2 linked regions of the Oryzias latipes genome follow. The protein of the gene in region 2 binds, or shares a complex with, the protein of the main gene of each other region. Links are inferred from orthologs where the notes say so. Each region holds a gene or a part of one and is shown on either strand. Other genes may lie near its edges.

Region 1 (4,262 bases), on a different chromosome or scaffold from region 2:
TTCCATGCTGAACCAGTTAAAAGTAACAGTTTGAAATTTGGGTTGTGTAAATGAAGCTTTTTTTAAGGAGTTATGTAAAAAAAATTCTTTGAACAAAGATCACTCTTTTATTTATTCAGTTTCAAAAGACTGATGCAACGTGAGACTTTTCCCCAACTGCAGTATTTGTCCTTCTTCATGGTCTGATTTAGATCAAGACTAAAGTTCATCTAAAAGAAGGTGAAAGGATTTCAAACAGTTGTATGAAAGTATTAATAAGTTCATGCTTGGAACTTAATGTTGTCCCCTTCTATGAGGAAAATGCAGCTCTACGTGCTGAGGAAACAGCTTTCAAATTTGTATTATTTGCAAATAACAATCCATGTTAATTTTAAACGTGTCAATCCTTCTGTTAAACAACATACAGAAAATACAATTTTGGGGAATTTAGATGGAATTCAGCTTGTGTGAATTGTGCTACATTTGGTAAGTTTCTGCTCATAGCAATTTTACCTTAACATGCTCAGCAGTGAGATGTGGTGAGTGCTGGTGAGGCACTGATGTCATCAGTCAGTTTAACAAATATATTCATATCAATTCAGATTAATTTTAGTTATACAGCACATTTCATGTAAAGAAAACAGCTCAAGGTGCTGTTAATCAAATCAAATAAGGATGCAAAAACACCAATGCAAAAATTAATAAATAAGCCCCTATGCCACAGATTAACTTATTTATACCATTTAATTGGTAACACTTGAAGTGGGTTGTTTAAGATTTCATTTCAACATTTTTGTCAATGTAGGATAGAAAAAAAATCACCAAAGTTTTTATTATTGACTTACTTTCGCTTTAATACAGTTACACATGAAAAAGAACTTTGATAAGTCCATGAAAATGCTTTTAATAACATTATAATTTAGGCGACATTGCACCAGCAAGCAGCACTGGCTGTGGCTCGTAACTGATTTGATGCTAGCACATGCAGATTGTTGAATTCACTCGCACAGCAAATAAAATGAAACAACAATATCACAACGGGTCATCAATTTAAATAGAGCATCTTTGCGACCGTTTGATTGACAGCAAATTAAAAGGAGAAATACTCAGACATGCAAAAATGAACTGATTTTTATTACAACTGTTCTCTTTCATAAGAAAAATGCCAGAAAGACATGTCAAAAACTTTCCTCGGAGGGATACTTATGAGTGGAATGTAATATGTCCTCCAATTCCGGAATGACCCGCGTGGTGGCGGTAATGCACAAAAAAGTGTTTTCCAACAACAGAAGAAGAAGAAACGGAAGTTGTCACTGGGAAAGTTCTTAGCGCCAAATTCGTGAAGCTTTGCTGGTTCTGAACCGAACTGGCTCGATGGATATCTGTGAAAAGGAACAAGAGGAGACAGCAGCCGTGTAGATTGGACTTTTCAGTCTGACCAAACCAGGCTCTCTGAGCCGAGCAGCAGCTGTTGTCCACTTTCAGGACTGGTTCTGTTCTGACCGGCTCTCTCTCTCTGTTCTCCATCCTCATCATCATCATGGCGGTGCCTTTCGTGCAGGACTGGGACGTGGTCCAGACGCTGGGAGAAGGAGCTTATGGAGAGTAGGAACCCTTTTTCTTTTTGGACCCTTCAGAAAGTCTTTTCATGGCGTAGCAGGACCACACGTGTTCATTAGAACCCACACACAACATCTGCACACACATCTGCTGAAGACTAGTAGAGGAGTTAGTGAGCGGGTTTCAGTTTTGGAAGATTTTGACACTTATCCCTTGTGCTATCAAAGGCACGTTAACGCTGGGAGTGGGGTCATCTGGACCCCACAAGTCAAGACAGTGCGCTGAACCTTTTTTTTTCAATGATTTGTGATCTTCACTGGTGTCCATGGATTCCATGAAATCTTTCCACCTTTATCCACCTTTGTCATGGTAGGGAGAACACGTCAATGTAAGGGTGGGGTCATCTGGACCCCATAGCACAAGGGTTATTGATGGATCAAAGCCAAATCTAACTAACAGAAAACTTTCATTGTTGTAAATTAGACATAAAAGTAAAAATCATTGTAAATGTTTTGCCATTAAAATGATTACAAGCATAACATATGATATGCTTAGATTAAAGCGGTCCGAATCTGTTTTTAAATATTTTAGAATAGGACCATGTGGAAAACCCATCAGAAAAAGTTATGTAGAAAGAGTTTTAGTGAGGATTTATCACACGGGAAGAGAGGCAGGAGAAGAACAGCTGTATATGTATTCAGATAAATTATAAAGATGAAAGTGTAATGCAACAAAAAGGATAAGAATCTGACATGAAATTATTATTTACAAAAAAATGTTTTTTTGCAAACACATTTTTAACCAAACTGATTTGTTTTGAATAGAAATTTAATAAATGAAGAGGGAGCAATGCAATTGAGAATTGATTTTATCCTTATTTTTGGTTTGTTTTTGTTCCTACGCTGATCTGGTGTTCAGAGTGAGGCTGCTGGTGAACAGGCAGACGGAGGAGGCGGTGGCGGTAAAGGTGATCGACACGTCACAAGCAGAGGAGTGTGCAGAAAATGTCAAGAAAGAGATCTGCATCCATAAGGTATCCCAGCCACGTCTAAAACAGCTGGTCCCAACCAGGCACTTCTGACACAAATCATCTCTCATTTTTGTTGTTTAAGCAATTTGTTTACAGATTAAAAAAGGAATCTATTGAATAATTTTTGCATTTTTAAAAACCTGAATAAGTACCCATTCTTACTGGTTAATTAAAAAGCTTTGAACTCCCTCTCCGATTGTCTTTTGATCTATTTTCAAAAAATGTCCCTGGTGGTCTTTCAATTACGATTATTCCATTATTAGCCAAAATGAAAAAGAAATGTGTCGTTTTCTAAGACATACAGTTAGGACCATAAATATTTGGACAGAGACACATTTTTTCTAATTTAGTTTCTGTACATTACTACAATTTGAAATAAATCAACTCAGATGCCATTGAAGTGCAGACTTTCAGCTTTTATTTCATGGGTTGAACAAAAAGATTGCATAGAAATGTGAAAAACTAAAACATTTTTTAAACACAATCCCTTCATTTCATGGGCTCGTAAGTAATTGGACAATTGACTTCCATGCTATTGCATGGGCAGGTGTGGGCAATTCCCTTGTTATGTCATTATGAGTGAAGCAGATAAAAGGCCTGGGGTTGATTAGAGGACTCGTGCTTGCATTTTGAAGATTTTGCTGTGAACAGACATGTGGTCAAAGGAGCTCACCATGCAGGTGAAAGGAGCCATCATTACGCTGAGGAAACTGTAGCAGTTCATTAAAAATATACCTCTGAGTTGTGGGCGGAACCGTTGACACGGAACAACCCTGTCCTCACTTCCTGACACCCAGCTTTTTACATGTTATTCCACTAGCTTACAGCCCCTCACATCCTCACCCTAACATTATCGGTGCAACACAAATGGCGAGCAACATTGGACCCATGCAGCCGTACAGTTTCTAGCCAGATACCACCTCGGACGAGGAAGACGAAGACCTACATGGATATATTCATCTACAGTCAGGACCATAAATATTTGGACAGAGACACATTCTTTCTGTACATTACCACAGTGAATTTTAAATAAAACAACTCAGATGCCATTAAAGTGCAGACTTTCAGCTTTTATACCATGGTTTGAACTAAAAGATTTCATAGAATTATGAAAAACTAAAGCATTTTTTAAACACAATCCCTTCATTTCATGGGCTCTTAAGTAATTGGACAAATACAAAGGGAGACATTGTATTTTCTACATTGCAGATACGTTCTTTTTCAAACGGTCTTTTTTTGTGATTCGCAACCATTTGAAAATAAAAATACTCAAAAATACCATTGCAAGCTCAATTTTCTTCATATAGTTTTTTCCATCATGAGAACATGTTGAGAAAACCAGAAACACAATTTTCGTCAGAGTGGGTCTTTGAAATTGTCTGTTCATCTGAAATATTATTTTTTTTGTAGATTCTCAACCACTGCAACATTGTAAGGTTTTTCGGTCATCGGAGAGAAGGAACAACCGTCTATCTCTTCCTAGAATACTGCACTGGAGGGGAGCTGTTTGACCGCATTGGTAAGATGCTCACTTTAAATTCAGCGGAGTCTTTACTTGTTTTGTCTCTAAGGATTATTGTGGTTTAATGTTGGTCACATTGTTTGCAACTTCTAACTAATGTTTCCTCCAGAACCTGATGTGGGGATGCCAGAGAGAGATGCTCATCGGTTTTTCCAGCAGCTCATCGCCGCT
Region 2 (3,813 bases):
AGGGCCCCGCCAGCTGGCCTGAGTCTGCGCCGGGGGATGGGGGGGCATACAGGTCCTGAGAGTCCTCCACCGGGAGGCAGAGGGACGGCTCCGAGAGTTTTCCAGAACTCTGTCAGGAAAGAAAAAAATGATTTAAGAACTTTTTCTAAGACTTTATTTAAGTTTATTTACTCAGACTTCTGTCGCAAAATTAAAACACTTAAAATAACTTAAAAATGAAAATTCATAAACTTTTCTGAAGTTGTCTACCTTCGAGGCCGAGCCAAGGAAGTTGGGCCTGAAGAAGCATGGCGATGGCGACCGGAAGGCGGCGGAGCCGAATGCCGCTCTCCCGGTGGCGCGCTGGTTGTTGACGGGCTGGTAGGAGGTGAGCATGGATCCTGCCAGCTCGAAGCTGCTGTTGTGGCTCATGTCCTTCACCAGGGACAGGGAGTCCTCCTCCTCTGTGGGCGGGGCACAGACAGATGGCGCCCTTTTCAACCCAACATGCTCGTCAACAGGAAGTGGCAAGACCAGCAAGCACTCACCAGTCTTGTTGCTGCTGTCGGGCCCAGGTGGCGGCGCTCTCCTGACGCCGTCGCTGAAGAAGAACGTAACGCGTTAAAGTCTTAAAAAGTTTTTTTTTTTAAACAGTTTTTTTGCGGGGGAACGAACCCGGTACGAGAGCACGAGCTGCCGGGAAACAGCATGAGGGTGCCGTCGGCGTGGACAAGGTCGGACACAGGCGCCACCTCGCCTTCTTCTTCAGCGCCGCCCAACAAGTCATCCAACCCCTGAAACACAATTGTTTTGGAATTTTTAAGAACCATCTGAAGACCCTCTGAAGGTTTCCATGATTTATGATTTTTCTGGATTACACCAGCAGGGGGAAGCACTGAGGCTCAAATCCATCAGGGAAACCTAAATGGTTTTCCTTTCGCTGAGTCTGGTGGTTTTTGTTTTTTTAAATCTTTCAGATAAAACCCTTAAAGTTCTCACCTCCTCTTCCTCCGACTCATCTGTCATGTCCTCCTCCTCTTCCTCCTCCTCACAGTCTTCGTTGTCCAGGCGGTGCAGCTCAGCCCTGCGGGCCCGCTCCTCCCTGCGCCGCTGTGCCATGGCGAGCTGCAGGCGCTGCTTTAGACTCAGCAGCTTCTCTCCTTCAGAGACGCGCCAGTTAACCACACCCCCACTACTACCCTGTAGCTCCGCCCACGCCTGCTGCTCTTCCTCACCTGGTTTGGCGGGGACCGGCTCTTCGGCGCCATCTTTGACAGTGATCGTGAGCGTCTCGGACCGCAGTTCCTCCTGCCCTGAGGGGGCGCTGTCTTTGCGCACGATGTTGAGCTGGAGCGTGCGCTCTCCGGGGGGGTGCGCCGGGGGTTGAATGTGACGAAGGTAGCGTTCTTTCAGGGCCGCTACGCCTGTGGGGGGTTGGCGGCCATGAGCAAAACGGAGGGGCAGGTCAAAGATGCAGCGGAATCAAACTCACCTGGGTTGAGTTGGGGGGGCTCCAGCTGAACGAAAGCGCCCTCGTCCGCGCACAGCTTTGCCACAGGCGGGGGGTCCAGGCCCAGCTCCTTCAGTCTTTTCAGCTTCCTGGTTTTGACGAGCAGAGGAGCAGGAGGCTCCGCCTCCTCTTGCTGCTGGACCTCAGAGCCCGACTCTGCAGCAGTTCTGGTTTCCTCTGGAGGCGGGGCCAGGCTTCCCCGCTCGCAGTCAGAAACAGGTTTCTCCGTTGCGTCTGACTCCTGCAGACTCTCCGACAGATAAAGCATCGGGCCCGATTCCAGCTCCGGATCAGAACCTCCAGAAGCTCCGTCTGGCCCACAGAGACTCTCTCCGTGGGCTCTCTCTCTCTCTTGCTGCGGGGACGAGGTCGCTGAGGGCACAGGCAAAGACTCAATCTGATTGGTTGAGGGCTCCAGGGAAGCAGGGGTTTCCTGCTCTGTAGTTGGTTGGCTGGACTCCTTCACGGGAGGAGCGTCGGGCGGCGTCTCCAACATCATCTGAGAGTATTTTGAAGATCTGATGGGAGAAAGATGAAATATTGTTTTCAGAGCAAAGATCTTTGATTTGTTCGCAGGTTCAACTCCAGGGTTGGAGAGAAACTCAGCGCGACTTCCTAGTGCCTTTACATGAAGGGGCTTTTATTTTGAAAAAGCAAACCAACTTCCTGCCTTTTTTGCACTGCAATTCTTCTGCTCAACGACTTAAACGCCTATATCTCAGAGTCAAACTCCCAAACAGAACAAACTACGTTTGTCGTGGGGAGGGTCTTACTTGAGCAGTGCCATTGCGGGACCCTGGGGGCGGGCTTTTCTCCTGTAGAAGTCGTGGATGCTTTTGGGCTCTGGGATGTGGTATGGCAGACCCAAAGAGGACTCTGTGGGGGCAGGAGGGGATGTTAGCTCAGGTGGAGCGGGTGGGGGCGCCGCAGATGGGCGGAGGAGCGCTCACCTCGGATCAGGCGCTGCGACTCGCTGTGCAGCTGCTTCATGGCCTCTCGGCTCGCCCTCGCCGCCTTCCTCTCCTGTGGACAGGAGAACAACAAGTTGATCACATGACTGACACTTCCCTGGCTTGGGGGGAGACTCTGGCTCCGCCTACCGCGCGGTGGGGCTTCTCCGCTGCCTCGTCATCGTCATCCCCCTCACTTAGAAGGCGTTCCTAAAGAAACAGAACCTTTGAGCAAGGCTTCATCGTGGAGCCCCAGCAGACGGCTGACTCGGATATTTATCTTAACCTCCTGCTTTTTCATCTTCTGCTTGACTGCAGCTCGGATGGCGTCCAAAGATTCCTCCTCCTCCTCTTCTTCGTCGTTTAGCCCTGTGTCGAACAGGTCCGTGTCGCCCAACGGACACCCGCTGTCGTTCAGCGATCGCGGCAAAGCACCACCCTAACGAGACAAGACGGGTTTTTACCTCACCATCTCTCTGTTCCGATCCGTTTGAGCAAGCAGAACTTACCTCATTTTCATCGCCAAACCTCCTCCTCTTCAGCTTCTCCACCGCGTTACTTCGCCTCTCCTGTTTCTCACGCCGCCTCCGGCTCTTCTCTCTGTTCTTCGCCTCTGCCTGCTGCGACTCCTCCCTTCCATCCGACTCGCCGTCCTCGCTGTCGGTGAGCCGGTGGGCAACTCTCCTCTGCGCTCCTTTCCTGCTGCTCTGCTCCTCCTCGCCGCTGGATAGCTGCTGAGCTTCTGCCACAGGGAAGCCGTTTTCTGCCGCTTCCTCCTCCTCGCTGTCACTGTCTCTGATGGCGACACGGCGAGGCTTTCTGTGAGCCGTGATGTCATCATCAGAGTCTGCAAAAACAACAACAAAAAAGAGAATCTGTAAAAAAAATAAACATGAACCGAGAATGAAGACTTAATCCTGAAGAAGGTGTTCACATTAGACACAGAACCTCAGGGCTCTATTCTCGGCCCTTTCCTGTTTTGTCTTTATCTGCCTCCAACAGGAGGAGGAGGAGGAGGAGGTTGTGGAGGAGCAGTCATGAGTCTGGTTTGTAAAACAGTGCAGCTTTTTTTCTTTTTTAACATAAATAATAATTTGCGACAAAGCTTCATGTAAAATTCATTTTTTTATGTTTTATCTAAAAACTGTTTTTTTTAGAGTTTCCTCGTGTTTCTCTAGGCATCCCGTATCAGAGTGACCCAGAGAAGCACTGCACGTTTTTCCAACATCCCGATCATTCTAGATCAGTGGTTCCCAGCGAATGCGGGCCGGTACTGGTTCGTGGGACAGTTAGTACAAAGAGAGACAAAAACACATAGAATTTGATTCTGAGGGAAGTTTTATTTAAATATGCATGTCAAGGTGGATTTTTGTT

What was found.
Region 1: the proteins of clspn (region 2) and chek1 are in contact, whole or in part, in a crystal structure (PDB 7AKO), measured with the Homo sapiens proteins. The link is inferred for Oryzias latipes from reciprocal best matches to the Homo sapiens genes CLSPN and CHEK1. Residues at the interface, in NP_071394.2 of Homo sapiens: Glu938, Leu940, Leu941, Leu943, Cys944, Ser945, Gly946; in NP_001107593.1 of Homo sapiens: Lys53, Lys54, Cys57, Met61, Arg129, Thr153, Val154, Phe155, Arg156, Tyr157, Asn158, Arg160, Glu161, Arg162.

What each region holds. Positions count from the first base shown.
Region 1 is NC_019872.2:13,136,572-13,140,833, reverse strand, and holds the start of chek1 (serine/threonine-protein kinase Chk1), read left to right. Parts: upstream 1-1,263; 5' UTR 1,264-1,519; coding exon 1,520-1,584; intron 1,585-2,457; coding exon 2,458-2,572; intron 2,573-3,979; coding exon 3,980-4,088; intron 4,089-4,200; coding exon 4,201-4,262. UniProt on the Homo sapiens protein: Serine/threonine-protein kinase which is required for checkpoint-mediated cell cycle arrest and activation of DNA repair in response to the presence of DNA damage or unreplicated DNA.
Region 2 is NC_019869.2:20,039,022-20,042,834, forward strand, and holds part of clspn (claspin), read right to left. Parts: intron 3,287-3,813; coding exon 2,949-3,286; intron 2,879-2,948; coding exon 2,726-2,878; intron 2,650-2,725; coding exon 2,590-2,649; intron 2,513-2,589; coding exon 2,440-2,512; intron 2,366-2,439; coding exon 2,263-2,365; intron 2,008-2,262; coding exon 1,472-2,007; intron 1,404-1,471; coding exon 1,215-1,403; intron 1,140-1,214; coding exon 979-1,139; intron 774-978; coding exon 655-773; intron 581-654; coding exon 528-580; intron 444-527; coding exon 250-443; intron 110-249; coding exon 1-109.